4 linked regions of the Drosophila melanogaster genome follow. Changing the gene in region 3 together with the main gene of any one other region gives a genetic interaction. Each region holds a gene or a part of one and is shown on either strand. Other genes may lie near its edges.

Evidence for each region.
Region 1: of upd1 (region 3) and bun, changing one suppresses a phenotype caused by changing the other (phenotypic suppression), as found in Drosophila melanogaster (2 studies listed by BioGRID).
Region 2: of upd1 (region 3) and Egfr, changing one suppresses a phenotype caused by changing the other (phenotypic suppression), as found in Drosophila melanogaster (2 studies listed by BioGRID).
Region 4: of upd1 (region 3) and Stat92E, changing one suppresses a phenotype caused by changing the other (phenotypic suppression), as found in Drosophila melanogaster (5 studies listed by BioGRID).

What each region holds. Positions count from the first base shown.
Region 1 is NT_033779.5:12,542,934-12,548,618, reverse strand, and holds the start of bun (bunched), read left to right. Parts: upstream 1-2,007; 5' UTR 2,008-2,209; exon of another isoform or gene 2,210-2,976; intron 2,977-4,275; exon of another isoform or gene 4,276-4,679; intron 4,680-5,020; exon of another isoform or gene 5,021-5,443; intron 5,444-5,685. UniProt on the Drosophila melanogaster protein: Probable transcription factor required for peripheral nervous system morphogenesis, eye development and oogenesis.
Region 2 is NT_033778.4:21,544,229-21,549,910, forward strand, and holds the start of Egfr (epidermal growth factor receptor), read left to right. Parts: upstream 1-2,414; 5' UTR 2,415-3,362; coding exon 3,363-3,663; intron 3,664-5,682. UniProt on the Drosophila melanogaster protein: Receptor tyrosine kinase, binding ligands of the EGF family and activating several signaling cascades to convert extracellular cues into appropriate cellular responses. Known ligands include spitz, gurken, vein and giant-lens.
Region 3 is NC_004354.4:18,303,744-18,310,935, reverse strand, and holds upd1 (unpaired 1), read left to right. Parts: upstream 1-1,644; 5' UTR 1,645-2,127; intron 2,128-2,676; exon of another isoform or gene 2,677-3,199; 5' UTR 3,200-3,336; coding exon 3,337-3,693; intron 3,694-3,768; coding exon 3,769-3,918; intron 3,919-4,107; coding exon 4,108-4,842; 3' UTR 4,843-5,582; downstream 5,583-7,192.
Region 4 is NT_033777.3:20,547,599-20,553,319, reverse strand, and holds the start of Stat92E (Signal-transducer and activator of transcription protein at 92E), read left to right. Parts: upstream 1-2,212; 5' UTR 2,213-2,599; intron 2,600-5,721. Other genes in the region: DPCoAC (dephosphocoenzyme A carrier), read left to right, coding at 7-193, 264-411. UniProt on the Drosophila melanogaster protein: Might play a role in signal transduction and activation of transcription.

The sequences.
Region 1 (5,685 bases), on a different chromosome or scaffold from region 3:
TCGTAGAAATGAAAACTTCACAGGCAAAGCAATATACTATGTAACTATGTAAACTGTGTAATTGAAAAATTCACAGTCACAAAAAAGAATCTAGAACTTATTTTCGTTTTATCATAATCTGAAATAACATGAGTTATTATATATTATCTATTTTTCAATACAGAAAAATTAAAACAATTTCAAAAAAATATACATATGTAATTTTTTAACCTTTTTCGCTCAGTGTGTGCTTGACCAAATGGGCATCTCATGGAAATGACAGTTAAGCCCGCCAACGTTGGTCACCCCAATGAATGCCGGAGCCAGCATTTTCTTCCCCACGAATGCAATCAAATGGAAATTGTTAAAGAAAAGGAAAAAATGCCAGTGAGCACGATTGAGTGGATCGCAGGACTTTTGGCATTTCACAAGGGTGCAACGCATCGGTCTGCACTAATTACGCACCAAACATGTACGGCAAATCGTCAAACCTTTGAATGCCACAAGCGAAAAAAGGGGCAGTTTTTGGGGGGCGAAAAATGTTTGCCAAATGTTTTTCCTGCCTGCTGCAATTTAAATGAGACGTTGGCCAAATGCGAGGGTGTCGCCTGCAGTCGCTGTGTGAAAGTGGGCGGGGCGGGGCGGGGCTGGTCAGTGGAATTAATTCTAATCCCGAACACGTTCCGTTGCGAACGAAGTGGTCAGTTGCGATATACTATATAAATATATATATAATTGTATATACATGCATATGTACATATATAGAACTCCTTAGTGGAGTTTCAATTGGTGGAGGGTGCGTCGATCATTAGCGTGATTTCTTTCCGCTTTGACAAGAAAATCAGAACGCTTCACTGAACTCCATCAGGACGAAAAAAAAAAGAAAAAAGGAATGTCTTAGTCGAATGGTGTGACTATTAGATACCCGTTAGCCAGCTTAAGAAAGTTGGTAAGAGTTGAATATATTTAAAGTCTTAACTGATTAAAGTTAGCAAGCAGAGTATCAGCAAGGTACTTAATTAAAAGAAGAACCAAAGAGTTAAATAAATGCAAGAAGGTAACAAGCAGCAGTGCGACTATCAGATACCTGTTACTCCACAAAACTTTCTTGAGAAGTCTTAGCGCTAGAACAGGAAATGCTCAAAAGCAGTTACATAATTACTGGCAATAATTTATGTTTATTTTTAAGCTTTAATAAACATCAATAGAAAAATTTAATAGAAAAAATAGAAAACTGAGCGCCAGTTCTATGTATCTATTTTGTTTATAAAAACAAGTAAAGTATACAAATTTAAGCATTGTTAAGGTATTAATTTTCTTAATGATTCAAATTATTTGTTACATATATTTTTATAAAGATTTACCAATCGAATTTTAGTCGTTTGAATTCGCTTAGATTCGTTGAAATTCGCTTCTAAATCAAAGCAAAGAAGCGAACCAATGTAAAATATATGTAAATGTAAAATTGTTGGTTCGGTACTTCGACGCGGGATCTGTTTAACGATTTTTTCAGTGATTTCGACACAAAAAGAGTAACTACTGCAGTTATTTTGCTAATAAAAAATTTAACTATATTATATGATAATTATAGATGATATGATATTAAATATAAATATAATTAAAATTTATAATAGTCCGATTTTTGACCAGAACTTATTATCGACATTATATAAGCCCATTATATACAAAAATGATTCCTAAAACAATCAAATAAAAGTAGAGTTGTGCCACTCGCCTTAGTATAACTTAGTTCTAAAGTATATGTTAATTTTATGTTAAATTCATTTTCGAATAATGGAAAAACGAGCGCCAATGTTGCGCTAGGGATTTCTAAACGATATGTAAACGATATCGTATATCGCACGACAATCGCCTGCGTGTAGAACTTAACAATCGATAGTTGTATTTAGCACAGAACCAAACCAAAAAATGCTAAAATATCAGTTTTGAACAGTATAGTGTGACCGCTATATGTGCCAAAAATCCCGTATTCAGTATTTGGTATTATTATTTGATATTATATTTTTATTGGCATTTTGAGTTGGGACAAAAACGCAAGGCAAGTTGTTGGTCTTTTTCGCTGTCTGCAGACGGATAAAAAGTAAAAGAACGCAAATCGAACGCGCCGCGAACGTATTGCAAAATCGCTTAACTCGCGGCGCCCTTGAAAACGACGAGGAAAAGCGAAAAAAGGCTGCGAGAGCTAGCGCAAAATCGAAGAAAAAACTGTGTATGTGCGTGCGTGTGAGTGTATGAGTGTGACGTGTGCGTCGCTGTGTGTGTGAGCGAGCTGGCATGCAGATGTAGAGATGTGTGTGCGCTGCTGCTGCGGCTGTGTGTGCGTGTAAATTGAATAAGAAAACGGAGCACAAATGGCACTGATGGAAAATTTATATGTGCGCTGAAAAATTAATTTATTTGCAAAAAGCCAAAGAGCTGCGAAAAGTAAAGTGACAAGCGGAGAGATGTGCAAAATCGAAAGAACGAAAAATTGTGGATTGCCGACTCTCTGCAGATTTGAAGAGAGTGGCAGCGAAAGAGAGACATAGAGAGAGAGTTTGTGTATGTGTGGGTGTGAGCCGCCTTTGCCAGGAAAACTAAAAAGAAAAAAATTCCCTGGCGTTAAAATTTGCACAAAAAATGTTGAATTCGATTGTTTGCTTTCCGCAGTTCGGCGTTTCGCTTTTTTTTTTTGCACAAAACTTTTTTCGCCAATTTTTCATGCACGCTTTTTCGTTTATTTAATTCCTCTCTCTCTCTCTCCATCTCTCTCTCACTCATTTTTTCGCTCTCCGAATCGACTCTCTCGCAGTGCTCTCCGCTTTTTGCTTGTGCACAGCCAAGTGTCAAAACTGTCATTTACCTTCCTTTTGTCCGATTAGCAAAACGCAACGAAAAACTAATATCCCATCCAAATTAAATTCGTGGCCGTTCGCTTGTTTTAAGTTTATTGTTTTACGCCAAGAAACAAGTAATTTTAAATTGTTTGACATACGCGTAAGTGTGGTAAAAATGTAAAAGAGAGGCCTTTGCCTCTTAGTGCAACAAATCGATCAGAAAGTAACCAATAAAAAAGCAAAGCAAATCGAAACATGTTTCAAAACGAAGGAAAAATCAGAGAAATTCAATGAAACAAAAGTGCAAAACAGTCGCGTAATTGTTGGTGTGTGTGTGTGTGTGTGTGTCAGCGTGTGTGCCCATCCTTTTGGTCTGCTTCTTCACTTTCGCTCAGTTGTTGTTGCAGCTTGCACTTTGTACCTTAGATTTTTCCCATTTCCTCTTTCCATTCCCATTTCTCCAAAACAGCTGGCCAAGCATTTGATTAACTCCAATATTCCTTCGTTTTCTACTGTATTTTATGTGCCATTTACCTTTGTTTATAATGTCAGCTGGCCCGGCATTGTTGTTTATTTTCTGTTCTGCTTCGCCTTGATTGTTTAGTCAAGTGTTAGTTTTGTTTTTGTGCCATTTTGCAATTTTCTGCTTATTTGCCATCCGATATTATGGGGTAATTTTTTTTTCATATGTGATTTTTAGTAGAAATTCATATAAAAAATTGTGTGTTCTGTTTGGTTAACGGTAACTCGAATTACACACAAGTGTTTAGAATTATGGATACGTATTTAATAACAGCGGTGTGCAATAATAGTAGATTTGCAAAAACCAACCAGCATTTCTGAGAATATTAATTTCTAGTTTATGAACTAAAATATGAAATTCACTCTGTATGAGTACCCTTTTTATACAAACTTGAAATGAATAAATCTGATTAGCTTTGAATGCCCTTGAACCAATCTACAATATCTTCACGATCATAATGATCATCCCTTTTAACGCATCTCCGATTTCAAAGCAAAACAAAATAAACCTCAGGCCAGATCGGTTTTCTTGTCAAGCCGCGTGGCAAATTTTTCTGCTTACCATGCACCATTTTGTAACTATAACTGGACGATATATTTGCGTTTAGGAATCGGATACACTTCAGATTTCTGCCAACTCTTTGATACAACCGATGGCACAAACTCAGAAAGGTTTGGATTGTTTTGCGAGTTACTTTCATAGGTATCGGTATCAAGAAGTTGCAAGAAATAAGCTGGGGTTTCTTGAACAGGGATCTATCTGCATAAAAGAAATGCGTGTGCAGACAGTCACGTCGACCAAACCAGAATTCAATCAGTTCATTTTTTTTTGTAATGTAGGAATTTCGGGGTTGATTGCTAGCGGAAAAGTACCAATCTTTCAACAACTGGTTAACTTTTTGAATGAAACCATCATAAAAAAATAACTAATTATTTTATCTAGGGTATTGTCACTTTCGGTACATTTAACACCTATTTGCACCAATTTTCTTTGATGTCTTGTTGCTTTATTTACATTCTGCGACTCAATTCAATTGAGAAATTATATTCGATTTCAATTGTATCTGAGTATCTCATGGATGCATTGTCATTGTAATCTCTAGCTTGTTGTTGTTCCTTTTGCAGCCGCCTCCTCCTCATCTTCGTCGCTGCTCTTTTCTCGTTTGATAAACATTTTCATTGCCTTCTCTCTGCATACATCGCTCTCTCTCGCTCTTTCGGGTTCTTTTACTTCCTCCTACAACGCCTTCGTTTTTCTTTTCCTTTTCCCTTGCCATTTTTTTTGCATTGTGAATCATTTCCTTGCGGAAAGGAAAAGAGCGAAGAAAAGGTGGGAAGTGCCTGTGGGTGAAAGACAGGAAAGGAAAGTCACTGATTGAAAAGTTATTAACTCGGTTGAATTTTCATTATGCATTATTTAACACCCTGGTGTCCTTAAAGTTCAGTTTTATATCTGTCAGCAAGGTATAAATTTTTAGAGGATTTTTTAGAGGATAACCCATTTATTTTTTGTTTCTATTTTTTGCTCCTAAAGGCCTTTTTTGTTATATCCCATTTTCGTTTTTGTTTTTACCGATAGTCTTAAAGTTTAGTAGGGCTTGATAAGGTTTTGATGGTTTAGCTGAGAAAGCAGCAGTGCATTTTATTACCGTATTTTGTATTGGCAATATATCCTGGCTTACCTTTGATGCACTGCGAACAATCGGGACACCTTTCCTTTTGCTTTTCATCTTCTTCGGCTGCTGCTATCATCATCAATATTGATTACCGGCAGCTGTCCGAGAGCGGGAGAGTGCGAGCGAGCAGCCGCTCTCCTTTTGCGGTTTGTTTGGTATGCGGCCCCCACCCCGTCCCGCCCACTTGTAGGCGCCCACGTTGGTAGGAAGGAGCATGTGGATGTAGATGCGGTTGCGGAGGGGCCAACAGGCTGCTCTCGCTCTCTTGCAGCTCCCGCTCTCCGATTGCAATTTTCTCAACGCGCATTCGCTCGCTCACACTCACTCTCTCTCGCTCGCGCTTGCCTCTTTCTGTACTATCTGTTGTAGTTGCTTTTCATTACATTTGTTGTTGTTGGCTTGCCATCGATTTTATGCTTTGTCGTTGCAATTAGTTCTTCTTCTGTTGCTTGCTTCTTGTCTGCACTTTTAGTTCTCATTTTCTTTTCACCCCATCTCCTTGTTGTTGCTTTTGCTATTGAGGAAGGCAGTGAGCAGAGGCAGAAGTCCTCCTCCTCCTCCTTTCCATTCGCCGATTTGTTTGTGTGCGAAATCTGGTGCCTACAGCGATACTTTGATTATTGACTGCCGGGGGGTTAAAAGGGGTCCCAAGTTTATTGTCCAGAAGATGA
Region 2 (5,682 bases), on a different chromosome or scaffold from region 3:
AACCTTGTTCGAAATACTTCTTGTTTTTAAGACCTTCTTCATGATATCCCCCTTAACATGCACTTTCATTATTTCTTCGCAAAAAATCGAGTCCCAAGTCGATGTAATACGCTACATAAGTACGTATGTATGTACTTGTGTATTCCATGTGCCAATGTGCAACACTCCATAATGCAACGAATTCGTTGCGCCCTATGGGCTGGAGCATCCCTCTCATCCCGCCGAGACACTTGAGCGCCTCCTGAGCCGATCTTTTGTTGCCCTTAATCTGCGTGGCACTTGAAAGTAACGCCTCGACGTCGACTCGCCAGACATCGATGGTGATGATCACGATGATTCCAATGATTCCGACAACCTGTAGAGCGGCCAGGAATCAACTTCAAGGGCCTGGTTCTCGAGGCTTTCTTTTGAAATTGGTTAAACCAGTGGAGAGATCATAGACAGATGGAGTGCTGCACTGGAGTGGGGGAGTTAAAAAACATTTCTCTTCGCATGGCATTTTGTACGCTTGATCAAATGTTTATGAGTGTGGGTCGGGGCATCTTGGAATCTCAGAATCTCGGCATCTTACACCTCTCGAGCGGCGTTTACCTGTGGTTCGTACTGGCGGAGTTGGTGGAGTGCCCTGAAGTGGTTTCAGAGTTCTGAGTTCTAAGATCGTTCTCAACTCGATGTTCGGCTGTCAGTTGCATGCTCTTCGATTTTGACAGATGATTCCGTACGGTTTGGGCAGTGTACCTTTTGATTGAGGTCTTCTGGCTTGGGACAGACGGCTATTAATATGTTTGATTATGGCTGCAGACCGGAGCATGGCGCTTTTACCCCATCGTGGAAATCTGTGGAAATGCTTTTCAATTTAAATGTATTTTCATGCTCTGAAACAAAGCGCCGAGCAAGACAATGCAACGCCTCTCGAGAGTCACAGCGTGGGATTCGAGATTCAAATGTGGACCGAGGAGTTAGTTGCGCTTTTCCAAGTGCACCTTTTGTATTTCTGTTATGGCAAAGTGAAAAAGGTCAAAACGCTTCGGATTTACCTGCCGAAACAGTGTCCTTTTGGCCCGATCCCGCAGAGCACATGGCGCAGGCGTAAAAACCCCGATTTCTTGTGGGCTGGGAACAGGTGAAGAAGAGGCCAACGAGATCTCGGTCTTGGATCTGCCCTAACAATGTTGACAACGCTCGTACAAAAATCTTTTTGCCAAAAGACAATCCATGGCCCACGCAGGCTCGGCTCACAGACACAGATGCAGATGCGGGCACAGTTACACACACAAACACACACAGATACAGATACAATTGCCGAGATCTTTTGTGCTTATATGGCAGCATTGCCCACACATACCCATGTATATACAGCCAGGTGAGAGAGCGGCGATCGCTTTACCTGAACGCTCTCAAATTCGCCGCAACAACAGAACCTCCAACAACAACAACAACAACAGCAGCAGTGTCAAGAAATTGGGATATACACAAGATCTTACCTGGGAACGACCTGCAATCGATGCGAATCTTAAATGCCCTGCACAGCTGTCGGAGTTAAGATGCTGTCGGATAATCCCCGCATTGGTTTTTTTGCTCTTGTCTTTGCTATTGGGCATTTTGGGGGGAGGGGAAAATCAGGACATTGTTGCTCAAGTACTTTCCTTTGTTGGAAAACTCGTCTCTGCAGTTGAAAAGGCTATTTATGGCGCCTTCTTAATCCTACCTAAACTTTGCTATCTTAAAACTGAGGTTGTTGCGTATAAATGCTTCTTAACTTTTTTAACATAAATCCCGTGTGTATATTATTTATACACGCCCTGTATATCGAGCAACATATTTTGTGCAAAAAGATTGTCCTTCTTTGGTATCCACTCTTCAAGCTTGGGATACTTAACCGCTCTGAGCCATGTACTCTATGTTAAGATTGTTAGTTGAAGTTATGTTCTGCGAACTTAAGATCTCTAGTTGGTGTTTCCGTTCATTTGAGATGGCGCTAAATTCGATTCTGTGCATTAGGGCCAACGTTTAGCATTTTCCCATGATATGTAGAGCATTTGCTGGTCTGGGGGAAGATTGCCCAATGTATCTGGCCGTATCGTTTCGTATTACGCTGACTTTTTAAAATGCTGCTGCTACGTTTACGATTACCTGTGGATTGTGGATGGAGATGGTCCGCTGGCGGTGCGAGTGGGAACGCTGCACTGAGCGAGCGAGAGGTGGCGACAGCGGTGCGCAGCTGTGCCGTAGTTGTTGCTGTATCGCTGGCTTTGCTTTTATTTTGACCTGATCTGAGCTCGAGATTTCGCCGTTCACCTTTATTTTTACCTGTGCGCGCTCTTTTCGCCGCAATCGAGAGTAAGAAACACGGCGAGAGAGTGAGAGAGAGAGACAGAGAGGGAGCAGCGCCTTTTGGCTGCGGCTTTGGCCTCAGTCTCGAATACAACTTGTTGCTGCGCGGACGCGAATCGCTCAGTACGGACGTCTTGAGCTCGAATCCTCGGCCATATCTGTGCTCTCGATCGCAGCGTTTGCTAATTCGAAGATCGTGCTAATCGAAGTACCGAGAAATCACAGTTCGCAAAACGACCAAAACCAAAGCCAAAAACGGGGTGTAAGCCAAGTGCCTTTGGCCTATACTATACTACTAAGCGTATTTTTGTGAATACCCTGCTAATTGGCAGCCGCGGCTGTGGCGGTTGTGGCTCAGTTCGAATGATGGCCAAGTGTGTGTGTTTTGTGCAAGTTAACCGCTGCGGGGGCAACACAACAATTGCTTAGGGCAATCAATTAAAGCTGAAAGCTAAGAGCTGCGCCTGCGCACGCCTCTCTAACCTCAAAAATCGTTGGCGAACTCAAAAAAGAAGCTGAAAAATACATCTGAAAAATAACAAAAATTTTATTTTTTACATACACTCATATATATATATATATATATATGAAAGCCTTCGGACGACTCTTGTGGCTCGTAATGTGAAACTGGTTCCTACACTCACGCACACACTCACTCACTGGCGCGTTCAAAAGACCCACTCGAAAACACACACTCACTCTCACGCGCATACACAGTGAAATGTAAACACCAATACAGTGGCAAATTGCAACGACAACAGCTTAAATTCAAAACAACAACAACAACAACAGCAACCGCAGCAAACGCAGTGAAAGAGTCGAAATCAAATTTATGAAAAGCTGTATTTTTGGCACGCAAAGCTGAGTGAGCAAAAAGCCGAAAGTAAACCGCAAGTTCAAGAAAAAGAAACGAATAAAAAATAACCCCTATGACGTCAGGGGTTATAGCTTGGAAGAGGGCTTGATTCATCCCACCAGTAACGCCCACAAAAAGCACCAACCACCAAACCACCCACCGCCCCGCAACAATGCTGCTGCGACGGCGCAACGGCCCCTGCCCCTTCCCCCTGCTGCTCCTGCTCCTGGCCCACTGCATTTGCATTTGGCCCGCGTCGGCGGCCCGCGATCGCTACGCCCGCCAGAACAATCGCCAGCGCCATCAGGATATAGATCGCGATCGGGATCGAGATCGATTCCTATACCGCAGCAGTTCGGCCCAAAATCGACAGAGGGGCGGGGCCAACTTCGCCCTGGGACTGGGAGCCAACGGAGTCACCATTCCCACCAGTCTGGAGGATAAGAACAAGAACGAGTTCGTCAAGGGGAAAAGTAAGTGCACCGCAAGGATCTATCCATCTTCCTCAAGCCGCCCATCATCTATCAAAATGTGTTTATGTAGATCATCTGGCTGACTGACTGGCTGCCCATATATCAAAAGAGCCAAGTCGTCCCGAATTTGGCCACCGTATCAGTTGGTCTCTAGAGTTTCCACCGTTTTCAGGTGTTTTTTTTTTTATTGTAGTTTCGTGCCAGCGATATGCTGTCGTTTATCTTATCGCTGTGATGTTTTTTTTTTATTTTTCCCCTGTACTGCACTTTAAATATAGCTTCGTTTTCGGCTGCATTTCGTATTATTTGGTCTTATCGTTACCCTGGGAATATCAATTATCGAGGGGTAGCTGCAAAGTGTGCAATATTACAAATATTTTACTAAGCTCATAGATTAAAAAACACTTGCAATAGTGTGTGAATTCGTAGTATTTTAAGTAATATAAGCTTACTTAACATTTATGTGTCTGGAATATGGACTTTGAATGATATTTCCCAATATCACGTATACGCCAGGGTATCCCCTAGTCCAGAGTGAATGCTCCCTCCATTTAATACCTGCCCTTCGCGACGGTCTCACCTGCCCTGTGGCTCACCTCTTGACTTGGCGCTGGCTTAGTCAAAGAGTCTTGTGTGCACTATCGCCCCTGTTTCGAGTTACCCCCACACCTAGCCATCAGATATCACGGCAAACATACCAGAATACCAGAACGCACTGATTAGCCAAGCACTGAGCACTGTGCTGTGCATTTCGTAATGTCAAATGTACAAGGTAAAGCGTAGTAGTTAGTTAGTGTTAAGACCGCCCGATTTTTCCACTCTGCCACTTTTCCCGCCGTCTGCGTGCCCTTTTCTGTGCATCAGCAGCAATTGCAATTGCAACAGCAAAAGCAACAGTAAGAGCAATAGGGCAACTGCAACTAGCGACACAATTTCCAGCTAAAATGGCGACTCAATTTGTTGACTCTGCAGTTCTCGAGGTTTTCTTTGTGGGCTCTTTGTTTCTTACCCGTTGGAAAATAAATTAATACACAAAATTTGGTATTCGCATATTGGAAGTTTTGGCTGCTTGGCTGGCTGGCTGTATGTTTGGGTAACCATTTGGCCACAATTTAATGAACTCCATGGCGTATCTGGCGGTGTCTGTTTGCACAGTACTTTGAGGCAAATGTTTGTATTCGGCGGGCAAACAGAAAAGTAAAAATTAAATGGGAGGCGAATAAAAGCGGGCCGTCGATACCAAGTACTCAGTGATCTTGTAGCTGCAAATTAATAACTGAATGTGCGCATTGTGCGCCAGCAACTGTGCAAATATTGATAGGAAAACGAAAACTTTGGCTACGCAGTCTATGCTAATGGGAGACGGGAGACCACCACCGCATAGCCGGATATGTGGATGTGGTATGTATGTATGTATGTATGGCTAGATAAGCGAGTTATGAAACCGATAAAGATGCCAGAACCTTAAAAAGCGATATTACCCTTTTTTTTCGCACAGACGATCGCTGCTGTCACAATGCCCTTTTCGCAGAAATTGTTCGAGTTATTTGCTCTGGCTTACTGTTTCGCTGTTTTCTTTATGACCATAAAAATAAGCACAGCTGCGGCATGTATGCAAATAAATGCTAGAGAAAAGCCTGCACGTGCATTCGAATCGAAACCGTTAAAAAAATCGTTGGGGGTAGGAAACTCGAACAACTGGCAATTGTTGTTGACGTCTTTATAGTTCAAAACGCTACACTCGCTGGCAAAAAATCACCTTTTAATTGTTCATTCAGGCAAAATTGTAGTAAAATCAATAAAAAGTTTCCAGAATTTTACTTTGACGTATTTTATTTCCAGTTAATCATACTAAACGCCAAGTGGATTACCCAAAAGTAGTTAGTTAGTTAGTAGTGCCTAAATCGTCACATTTTGCAAGGACTTCTCTTATGATATTATAGTTTCCTTTAAATAGTTAACCATTTGGGTTCAGAACCATAGCCACCCACCTCCCAGCACATAGATACACACAGAAAC
Region 3 (7,192 bases):
CACAAAAGGTGTGCGCTGCCACCTTGATATATGTGATATATGCGAGCGAGTCCCTCTCTGTGGGTTGTGGGTCCTGCGAGATTCGAGTCCTGTGCGTCCGTCCTGCCTTGCGGCGAAATAAAGGCGAGTGGCCCCGCTGCGCAACACAACTGCTTCCTGCAGCAGTTGCTGCACGCTGCACTTACGGTTAGACGCAAGGACACACCGTCCGCTGTCCGTTTCGGCCCGCTATCTGACCATCTACAGCTGTTTTCGGCTGCCCAAAACAATGCGGCCATAATGCAGCAAAACTCTCAATTTAATTAGACCGTCAATTGTGCAAGCCCTCGAAAGTAGGGAGAAATATGGGCATATTTGACATAGGGATGTCCTAGGTAGATGGGCGTCCGGGGGTTCGCCAGTTGGGAGTACCTGGCCCACTGGCCAGAGATTTCACACTCTTCTTCTAGTTACCCACCCAAAGCGGAATTGCGACAATATCAAGCCGAACTCATCGAGATGGTCAAATATCAGCGCTGCGATTATCAAAATAAATAATTTGAGGTGAGTTATAAATGTATCAAAAAATGATGAAACAACTTAATGTTTTACGATTTTTATGTAAATCTTTATTAATTAATTACCCATACGAACAGATTTAGGCATATATATGTATATTATTAACTTCATTTAAACAACTTGAATCATGTCAAATGAATTTGAATGGTATATACATATATAATAGATTGTGAGTGCCAAAATCACTACTTCAGTTATATTGATTGTGGTTCGAACACGTATAAATAATATTACTATAAAAATGTATATATTATGTATTATTATATATATTACTACTGGTATTGAGAAGAATTGTAACTGCACAATTGGTTGATTCCTTAGTGCTTTATCCTATTTTACGCTTTATTCCTTATAATTACTAAATTAATTTTAATATACAAAATATATAGCAATTTACTAGTTGTTAGAAAAAGTTGAAGAAAATGTAATATTGGTTAACGTTCCTCGTGGATAGTTCTCGAATGGATAGTTTACCTGGATTAGCGAGCTGAATAGCGGTGTTATGTTGGTCATTTCCGTTGATCACTTTCTAGACCGATTTGAATGTCAGGACTTTTTGGGAGGGGTGAGCAGGCCGCTCAAGGTCACCCAGAGAGTTTGAGAGAGGGAGAGAGAGAGAGGACCTAGCTGACCGGGCTTAGAAGAGTGAGACAGAGCCAGGTAGGCCTGGTCTTTTGGGGCACCAGGTAGGCTGCCTCTCTTCTTTTCCCGCTCTTTGAGTGAGTGACGCGGATTGGGCAAGTGGGAAAATTCCAGTTGCAATGGCGACCGGCCCAAGATCGCCCTGGTCCGCAGGAGCGAGCGGGATGGCGCGCGAGGACAGCCGGTTGGCAGGCTCAAAGACGGCACCAATACACACTTCGGCCAGGTAGGCGCATACGCACACACGTGCAGGTGACCTGGGAATAGGATACCCCGAATACGATCGGTGAGAGCGGGCGCGGGAGCGGGACAGCCTGCGGTTCTTCGGATCTGAATCTGATCGGTCCGAATCGGCGGTCTTCTTCTGGCTCGGACCATGGCGTACCGCTCGTCGGCACTCGGCGGGCAGCGACGCCGGCAGAGGCCGCTCAGCTCGCCTCAGTTCCCATTTCAGTTTCGGTTTCGGCCTTTTGGCGCTGCTCATCGGTCGGTCGGTTGGTCGGTGGTCGGTCGGTATCGCTCTGGTATTCTGGTATCTGGTATCCGCAGCCTCTCAGCGAAGAAAGCTGGTCAAATCCAGCGCGACTTTGGGCTCAGTTCGGTTTCACACTCGAACGCGAGCAGAAGTGTCCGCGAATCAGTCTCCAAAGCATCGAAATCACCAAATCAGAACACAAACTGAAGCACGGATTTGAACTCGATCTGTGGTCAAGTGGTCTCACAAATATTATATATAAATACATTTTTTTGCGAGTGTTGTGCTGCAAGTGTGTCCATTGAAAACCGCCGGAAAATCAACGAACAACGAATCTCGAACGATCATCGAACATTTGGATTAACGTACAGACTTTTGGGAGCTCAGGCGCAGCACAAACCACGGGGATCCCGCGAGGATCCTGAACGATTCCATTTTTCATCTATAATGCGGTGTGTGTATTATTTTTAATTTGATCAAGACTTAAGAGCAGGCACAATTGGAGAGTGGAGAAGCGATCGAAAAGGATATTTTGGTCAATATCAATTCTCCACTCTTCAAGTGACTTATCAACAAGAAACGACCAACGATCTACTGTTAAGCAAAAAGGACATTCTGTGACAGCAACTGCAATTTTGGGAATTAGGATTAAATTATATAGTTTAATTAATTCGCTCTGCATTAAAATGCAAATCCATTCAGGATATTGTTACTTGTGCGAATCCTTTCCGTTCGTTTTTAGCAGCAAACGATCTTCAGTCTCGAATTTTAATCCTGTCAGATAAAGTAGCTAACTTGAATGGAGAATTTGAAATGTTCAAATTTTAGAATTAGCCCCAAATCCAAAATTCAACCTCAAAAGTTTCCATACACTTTCACACACTGGAAGTTAAAGCCAAGCCAAGCCAGAAGGCAGAGATTTGTCGCCTGGAGAAGATTAGATCCTCGAAACTTGGATCGATACGTCTTCGTTATTCGCTCAGGCTACTCTCGAGTTAATTGTCTAAATTAAAAAGTTTCCCCGCCCTCAATATACACACATATCGCTCTGGAAAAGACAAAAAAAAAAAAACAACGAAAAGCAAAAAAAACCGCAAAACAAACATAGAGAAAATGTTAAAAAAATCGAACCAAATTGTTGAGACTGTTGTCTGGTTGCAGTTGCATTCGCATTGAAGGAGGCTCGGCCGATCATCCGACCCGTAATCCCGATCACCTCAGAGCTCCAGCATCGAAGCACCCGACCACCCAATCCCACCCAGTAACCCATCCACTCCCAAGGGAGTCCAGTTAGTTAACCATCTAGTCAGGGAGGAACAGTGATAGCAGTTGATCGTTGGTCGTCGCGCGTTGTAGCAGAAAATTGAATTTACTTTTGCATTCTCGATACTCATAGTGTTTTTTCTCCACATCTCTTCCCTTCTGACCCCCCATCCCCACCCTTCACATATATCCTATATATATATATTGTAACCCCGTTCGCTGTATCTGCACACTGATTTCGATACGGACCGCGGACAGTAGTTGGTTGGCAGTGCGCTGCGACCACAGCTAAAAACAGCACCACGGCAGCCGGCAACGGAAACGGAAACATCAGCGGAAGCGGTAGCGGTAGCGGTAACGGATTCCGGCGCAGAAGAGAAAGTGGCTACCATGCGGCGATGGCTCGTCCGCTGCTCCTGCTCCTGCCCATCCTACTCGTCCTGCTCCTTGCCGCCCAGTTGCCCCACCTCGCCGAGGGGCGCAGCACCACCAGCAGCGGCGGTCTAACGGTTATCGATAGCGAGCGCCTGCGCATTCGCACCACCTCCAGTACGGCTTCAGCTCAGCATCCCAATCAGGGCACGATCCCTGCCAGCGCCGCTAGTCCGCGCAAGCGCCACAGAAAGCGGAACAGCAACTGGATCGACTATCGCAACTTCGACGAGAACACCACCGCCCTGGAGTGGGCCAATCCCTGCGGTGGCAACTATCATCCCTCGGCGGGTGATCGCTTCAATCGCCAGCGTCCCAGGCAGGTGAGTTCAAACGGCAGCGCTCTTTGGACCCGATCCATATGTAATCCGCTCCCCATTTTATCTGCTTCTCCACAGAGCTTCAATCAGCTGAAGCGCCACGCCTTTCGGGAGTACCGCAGCCTAAACAGTAGCCAGGACTCGGCCATAGATATCCGCAACATGACCATGTGGTCCCTCCACACGCACAACTACAAGTTCCTGCCCAAGCTCAAGCCCAATTCCACGGTAAGCAATCCTACAGTCATACTTTTTATCTATTAACTTAGTTGTCAAAACTAGTTACTAAATCCATCTCGTTATCAACTTTGTATCTATGTATCTTGAAAATAGCTCAATTATCTCGTTATCAACTTTGTATCTATGTATCTTGAAAATAGCTCACAATTGTCTCCATCTTTTTGATTTCTTCCACAGATTGCCCTAAAGCGCTGGTACCGCAACATGCAAACTTACGTGGCCAGCTTTGCGTATCTGAGGCGCCAGCAGATCCGCTGGGATCAGCGGTCCATCACCCGCGAGTCCAGCACCGCCCGCGAGCTGCGCGAGCTGCTCCTGAGCTCGCGGCGCATCCTCTGCGAGCTGGAGACAGCCGTCAACCAGACGCAGAGTCCGCGCCAGAAGCAGCGGCGCAGTGGTGCGGCGGTCACAGCAGTTGGCGGCACCACCATGCTGGGTCAGCAGCTGCCACAGATCTCGCGTCTCGAGATGAACAAGCGTTTGAAGCTGCGCTCCAAGACGAGTGGGCCCGGTATGGGTGGTGCTGCTTCCAGTGCATCCATGGCGGCGGGCGAGGCGGACTCGATCGATATGCGCTTTGTGAAGCACCACTACTACGACTTTTTGCGCACCATGTACCAGCTGCTGCGGCGGGATGGCAAGCGGGTAAGGAGTCGGCCACGGAAGCACCACAAGAAGCAGCAGAGGAGCCAGAAAAAGTTGCTACAGCAGCAGCAGCAGCTGGCGGATCAACTGGAGCAGCGTTGGCGCAGCTCCACCTTGAATGGCAAGGAGTTCAACGAGGTATCCAAGCCAGTGGCCGGTGGTGCTGCTGGAGTTGCAGATGTTGCAGGTGTTTCCGGTGGTGGAAGCAACCAATTTGCACGTGGCAGACGTGGAAAGCGCCAGTCGAAGCGCGTGCAGCGCACGTGAAATAGCATACACAACATTCCCATATCTTTCCATTTCCCCTTACCTCAGGACTCGCCCCTTTCCTCTGTTCTACAAACCCCTAGCCTCAAATCCTTAATTTAACCGTTAATTGATCGATAGTAGCTTAAGTAAATTATTTGATTGACAGCACATAGTCTCTGTTCTCGAATTCATTGCAAGTATTACCACATTCCGTATTTATTGACATTCGTCGAGAGTGAGAGAGAGGGAGAGAGAGAGAAATAGAGAGAGAGATATAGTTATATAGCATACGAAACCACAATCTGCAGTTGCCGTTCTAGTCACATAAGAGCAACCGCCAACCACCACCCACTGGAAAGTATTATTCGCCACGCCCGCTTTGTAGCCCATTCCGCACCCGCATCGAGTACTATGTGACCCCCAGTAGGCTAAGCTAACCCATGGCATTCATGATCATAATTCCATATCCATATCCTTTAGGCTAAACTTTGATCCTAAGGCACACACACACACATTTTTTTTTTTTCGTAGGCTAGCTTGTGTTTCGACATCTGTGATATAGTGCTTGACTAGTTCGTATTTAACCTAATTGTACATATATATTATATATAGATCGCATTGGGGTGGCATGTGGCCGCATCCATGCCTTCGTAGTCCTAAGCTCGCCCTTAGAAATCGATTTTCGTATTTATAGAACCGACCGACATATGACTAAGCCAGCAGCGGAATAAAGCGAACAATAAACTGAATTGAATTTGAAAATAAATCTGGATTGCATTTCATTTTTGGGAATAAATGGTATACATATATCCATTTGGATATACTTAAATTTATGATGGAAAAGAACTTCGTACTTCCCATTTTGAGGTTCAACGTTTTTATCTTATATTTCAAAATTGAAATACCCGAATATCGAATTCAATTCTATATATTTTTATATCTTTTACCATCAAAAACCTATCAACCAACCTATCTTATGTGGCCAACACTTTCGCGTACATTGAATCCCTATACCTGGGGGAGTCAATTACTCCAATTCCCTTGACCCACTTTCTGCGGATTCGCTTTCTGCTGCGCCTTGGATGCGTCTTTATGGCTCCTCCATGGGTCATGGGTTTTATGATCTCCAGCGGCGTCAAACTATTAGCACGTCAGGCTCCCAGTTCCCCTCGATACCGAAACCGATCCCGATCCCGATTCCGATTCCGATCCCCACCTGCTTGTCTACCTGTGCCCAGAAACCCAGAGGAAATGAATGGACTGTGATCAATGGAACCACTCAATGAAAGTTCGCGCCAAGTGCATCAGAACTACATATACTCGTAAAGCTGATCACCATCATCATCGGTGGCATTAGCTCTTGCGGGAATGCTAAGGTGCCGGGATCAGGGGGCAGATGAGCTGACGCTTATCCCCGGGGTTAACTAAAACACGGCTACACTTGTCCTGGTCACCGATTTGCATTGCAGTCTGGAATCGAGAAATCCCCGCTTTGTTTTAAGCGGATTTAGGCAAATTTACTTTTTAATGCCTTGGCTTATTGCCAAGCTCCGTTTAGGGCGCTTAGTGGCAACTTATGGCCAAGTCCACTCGGATTATTAGCGCTCAGCGAACGGAAGCAGACTGCCGTCTACCTTGCGAGTCCTTAAGTGTCCTGGCCAAACAGAGGGAGAAAGGGCAGAGGGAAGGGCAAAACGGAGATGTTGACATGCAAATGGATTAGCACGAGACGCTGAGCAAAAACATTTCTGCATGCATTATAATGCCGCCTAAGCCGTTTATTGATTGCAATCGATCGAAGGAAGTCCAGACTTTAAGCCGCTCCAGGGTTATGGTTTTTATGTTCGGTTTTGGTTTTGGTTTTGGGTACGGGTTCGGATTCGGATTCGGGTCTCTTGACCATAGTCCAGTGTCAAGTGTCCCCTTTTTGGCCTGAGCCCTTTTGGGTAAGTAGGTGTTGTTATGTTTTTAGCTGTCATAAATATTGTAAAACTCGGTAAATATTTAAACAGCGTGCACAATAAAGGCAAATGCCAAGAGGCTCGACGTCGACGGGCATACCAGTATTTCGGTATTTCAGTTTTCAGTTTTCGGATTTCGGATTCCGTTCGGGGCATTGTTTTTGGCCTGGTCATAACGGCCCGGCCGCACCGCCCGACTCTACCTACTACCTGCTCCTTCCTCCTTCCTCCCGGTGAAATTTGAATATGTGCCTGGCCGTGGACGCAGGGGTGCGGTGGACAGAAAAAAAAAAGAAAGAAAAAGATTAACAACATTTAATAACCCATCATTGCGCCGTCCCGCTCCCACGCATTGTGTCGACAATTTTGCAAGATAACTGCATTTGTGCAGTCCTTTGTGCCGGGCC
Region 4 (5,721 bases), on a different chromosome or scaffold from region 3:
TTGCAGAAGTGGTCGGCAACAATAAACCCAATACTCTAGTCTCGCTGGCCTTCGGTGCTGCGGCTGGTGCCGCCGGGCAAACGGCCAGCTATCCATTGGACATTGTGCGGCGAAGAATGCAGACAATGCGGGTGAACACGGCTGGCGGAGATCGGTACCCAACCATCCTGGAGACTCTCGTCAAGATCTATCGGTGCGTGCAAATCTTTGTCAACGATTTTATTCATATTTTAATTGCGATTTTAATTACGATTTCCAAACAGTGAGGAGGGCGTCAAGAACGGTTTCTACAAGGGACTTAGCATGAACTGGATCAAGGGACCCATCGCCGTGGGCATCAGCTTCTCCACCTACGATCTGATCAAGGCGTGGCTCACGGAGCTGGCCAACTTGAGACGGGTTGAGAAATAGCCCAGCTCCCTGCCCCTGCCACTCGTCACCCATAAACACCACACCAAAAACGCACTGCTTTGATCTTAAGTCTCGCGATCGATGGATGAGCTGAGGAAATAGAAGTGAAGCACCGACATGCTCTAATTGTTAGATATTTTTTAGCTGTTAGTTGTGAGGGAGAGAAGCGATGAAGTGAAGACACCCGAAAGCGCTTAACTTTGTTATTAACCGTAATTGATTTATTATCGCCGTAAGCCGAAAGTATATCAGCCAATAAACTGTCTGAATAATGACTCGCCTGGCACATACTGCTCCCCAGGACCTCGTATTCAATGGTGTTGCTTTGACAATAACACTCCTAGATTAATGATTACGATTTACCCGAACATTTTGTATATTGTGTATTGCCAACTCAATGTCAAGGCGCTGCGACTGTTAAAATAGTCATGAATTTGAGGGTGTTCACACCAGCATATACTATGTAATTCTTGTATGTTAGTGTGTTTTTATTATTAAAATTTACAAAATTGTTTAACTGATCGATTATCTCAATCGTTTTTAAAACGCGCGCCATCGGTTGTGACAGGTGGCACCTCCGGCGATTACGCGATAACATCTTTTGCGGGGGTGCTGTATATCGAAATATGCTGGTAGTCGCGTTCGCAAAAATTCGAGTGCTCGCAAAACGAAAACAACGTAAATTTAGTGCGTTTTAAAAGTGATAATTAAGACTATTTGCCCTGGAATTAGGTGGCCCAACAGCCGTGAGCTGCAGGCGGTGTTGTTTTAAGGATAAAAAGCGTTTTTCCCCCAACACCTGCCATAACCAAAAAGGCAATCTGAAAGGTGAGTGATTTGCTGTGCTGCGCCGATTGTGGAATGGATTAATTATTTAAGGCCTATTGATTAGACGGGGCACAGCCTTAAAAAAACCCCTCTCCGAGCACCAACCCTCTTCATTTAAAGAGGGTCGGGGGTGGCATTCTCATGCTCGCTTGTTGCTGCGCACAACAGGTGAAAATTCAGAAGTCGCGTATGTTTATATGCAGAATACACAAGAGTTGGCAAAAGACCATTAATTGTGCTTCTCTGCGTCTGGGGTAACCTTGACTTTCGGTGGACAAATCAATCAAATGCAATTAATTACACCGCCAGCGGTGCATATGTGTGGGTGGCAGCTCGTGTGTGTACAGACAACATGCGCACTCATATCTGCGGCGCCACAATGATGCGAAAATGGGTGTAAACCCCCTTTGATAAATGTTTGTTTATCGCAATTAGCTTCGCAAATTGTTTATTCTTTAGCAGCCGACAGTGCTGTTAACTTAACAGGGGTGCGAGGGTTGCACTTCGGGTTATCAGAGTTTTCCACCATCAAATTCATTTTACTTCTAAATAATAACTTCAATCAACTTATTTTTCTTTAATTAACTCACAAAGTTTAGTGGAATATTAGCACGATAGAGATATATATTTCGTAACTTGTTTAGTCTTAATGTTTCTTTTAGAACATCTTTACGAAAAATCCTAAATGCTATTTGTTTAATTATGTGCATTCCAAGTCAAAAATTTATAAGTAATAACAATTCAAAAATTTTGTTTTACCATAGTTATCGAGCTTTGGTCCCTGGTTGTTAACAATATTTTACTGCGCTGCTCTATAAAATTAAATCAACTTATTTTCTAATTAGAATTTCCTATCTTCCCGGTTTGGCAGAGATTTATCAGAATCGATACCCACTGTTAACAGCGATTGTTCACATGTGTTCATCGTCCGATAGTATCGCATGTGGATCGCTTTCGCTCCAACTCTAGAGACGCGGCAGTCGTTTTTTAGCCACTATAGGGAATTGTTCGAATGCGGAGCAATTTTCAAATGCGCAACCAGTTGAATTCTTTTGCAAGTGCACTTTGTTTTCAAGGATTCGTTTAACTGATAGGATTTCCTTTGGTCGAGACTCTAGTTTTTTTTTCTAAATTCTCAGTGCGTGTGCGGGTGTGCATGTGCGTTCCGTCTCCCTCGCACTGCGTCGTGTGTGTAATGTTTGTGTGTGCGTGAAGCCAGCGCGATTTAAAAATAAAACGGCAAATACATAATAAAAAATATCGAAGAGCAACAGCGGCAGGCGTACCAATACAAACTAACCGATACCAGCCAGCCGTGTGTGTTTACACAGTGTTGTGCGTTGGTGTTTGTGTACCAAAGGTAAATAGAAATAGGAGAAAAAGAGCAACAAATTTACGAGTGGTGGGGGGTACGTATATAAATGCGTGTGTGGGTGGGAGGACTCCGCTGCAAATGTGCACTGCGCAAATAATGTGGGTGGGCGTGTGGTGGTTCCGCAAGGCCTTCACGAAGGTTCTCTGCCTTTTGGCCACAAATTCGATGCACCATCATCATGTGTTTCCACTTGACGCTTTATTTATACATCAACAAAATACCCACACACATGCACATGTGTTCTTCACGCTCCTGTTTCCCGGTCTTCTTCTTCCCCGTTCATTGTTGTTTCCTGGAAAGCCCATAAAAACAAAGGCAACAAGAATTTCGAGTGCAATAGCACAAATGGCAGCAACAACAACACTGATATCGAGTATATTAGCTGTTCCCCATCTCACCGTCCCACTCGCTCCCTTGCACAGCGAGAAAGCGAGGCTATAAAACTAAAAATTATATATATTTAATGTCCTCTGTTTAAAAAATTAAGCTTTTTTGTATAAATACATAATACAATTTTTTGTATAAGGCATTGGTAAATTAATCCCATGTGTTGGGGCCCGATTCAACACCTGGTATCACAACATTTGGCAACACATATTTAACTGTTACTCTAGCACTATTTTTTCAAGTGTCTGACGTACGGGGCCCTATCATTCTCATATTCACATGCTACTCTTGCTTTCATACGTCGCCGACTTCTGCGCGCTCAACACTTTTATCTTGCTCGCTGTCGTCGGTCGCTTACTGCCCCCTCCTCCGTCGCGGGCTTCCCCTCTCTCCACCATGACTTCTTGGCCTGGCTATAACCCGGCTGGCTTCTACCACTTCGGACAAATTACGATTGTCAGCGACGCCGACGTTAGCTAACCCCTTGGCGTTTCACATTTGATAAACCCGATCGCATTGCTGTGGACACCGTAGATTATCATTGGTCATAGTGGGTCCTCCAATCAATGGCCAGGTGGACGGTCAACTTACATAGGTTAGTTGGCAGAGGGGTTTCTTCGTTTATGTCAACTAATAAAACGCATACATTATATAACTACCATTATTTATTAACAGTGGTTAAAATCATTAATTTTATAGATGAAAGGGAGATACAATATAATATTGTACTTTATTCAGAATTGTATTTACGGTCTGAGAAACTATATTTTACATTTAAAGTTCACCCTGAATTGAAATAAAGTAGTAATGTGGCTTTTATATATTGAAAATATATTGTATATAGATTCGAATGAACAGATATACTCTAAATGCCACGATACTTAAAACTATAGGGTGCTCAAAGTTCGTTTCCCCAATTAGTTCTTCTATATCGTGTTGGAACTCACTCCCGTCAGATTTGAACATATGTATTTATGCAGCAAAGTTTATCGCCACCAATCCAGTCCACCACATGTGTTTAAAGTTATTTCTGGATCTTCGATATAGGCAGTGCTAATTATTGCGCTATTATGCGAATCACTATCCTCAAGCGCAAATCAAGCCGGCTTCTTATCGGCGACTCTCGTTATTTACTTTGTTACATTGACACCTCGTTATCAAAGTCGTTTATTGCGTTGCATTTCATTGTCGTAAATGGAGCACTCTGCTGCGCCTTCAATAGATTGGGGGCCTACTGTACTTACACATATTGTGCCTGCTTATCGCTGGCAAAATGCTTTTCTGGTGGTAGTAGATGGCCCCCGAACTAGCGAATCAAAACTTCAATCTATAGTTTCTGAGGAAGTTACTTTGAGGAACTTACTACAACGTATTTTACAAATATTTTTGTCAATATGCCCAATTATCAAGTTTGAAACCCGAAAATCTGTCTAGCTCGTAATCAAAGCTGTACTTATTATTAAAAAATTAAAGATCATATTTATTTATTACTTGAAAAACCCAAATCATTGGTTATGGAAATATTGACCCTAATGCTAATTAGTTTTTGAAAAACAAATAAGTAATATAGAGCAGTAAAAAATGGATTCAATAGAGGATTAATACATTTCTGCGAATCTTTTGTTGCACTCCGCTGATAAGGAGTCCCATTTATTGGAATTTTGCTAAGACTTTACAGTTAAGCAATAAAAGACAATGTTTGGTAGCTGTATTGTTTGATAACCTGACTGACTTCAGTCGAATAATCACTTTTCGAACCATTGAGCACCAACACAAGACTGATAACTGAGTGATACCCAACCATGATTGTATTTGTATTGCAGATGACAGTTTGGACAAATATTCCTTAATTACTTTATTTTTTGACAAATAGACTTGAGCACATATTTTATGAGCTTAAGATCGGTGGGATTTATGAACAGATAAGTGAGGTCATCGGGGCAAGTGTGACAACAAACATTGATCTGTTCGCGGAACGAGCATTATGTGGTGATAAGAAACCGTGTGCCGACACATTACTTAGCTCAATATAACCCAATCGATCCGGTGTTTCTCGTTAGACGAAACAAAAGCCGACAAACATCGTGCAAAATGTCAGGCGAGCAGCAACGATAAATGATTACTTAAATAATACTTGGTGTGGCAAAGTGGTGGTGGTGGGGGGGCTCACTTTGGGCTCGGTTGGGGGTGGTGCAACGGCGAGGTTTCCATTGTCGATGTACGGCGTACACCCACACAACCACGAGGAAAAGAACACTGAGGCATGCTTATTAAACTTTTATGAGTACAAAAACAAATACCACAAACGACTCTCGTTTCTCACAGGGCAATCGTAAGTGTGTGCGTTGTTTATAAAAAATTGAACAAGAAAAATATAAAATGAACGCGGCTGGCTGGCACAAATGTCGAAGCAGCAGAAAGCAAAAAGCAAAAAGCGAAAAGAACAGCCAGGAACAACAAAGGCAGCACACCCGCGCTTGGGTGTTTGCAATCGTCGGTTTTCGAAGTGGTCAGAAATGCTTGGACGCCATACTAAGGGCCGAGGAAATTGTAGTGACCCCAACCAAAGCTCTACGGGCATAACAATCCCAACTTTGATGTCATGCCCATACAAATTTTCCCCCCACAGAGTGCATGACTAATATTCAAATTGGTGTGTCCAACTCAAAGAACGCGAATTTTTATAAAGTTATATGCCAACACTTTTATGGTTTATTTAA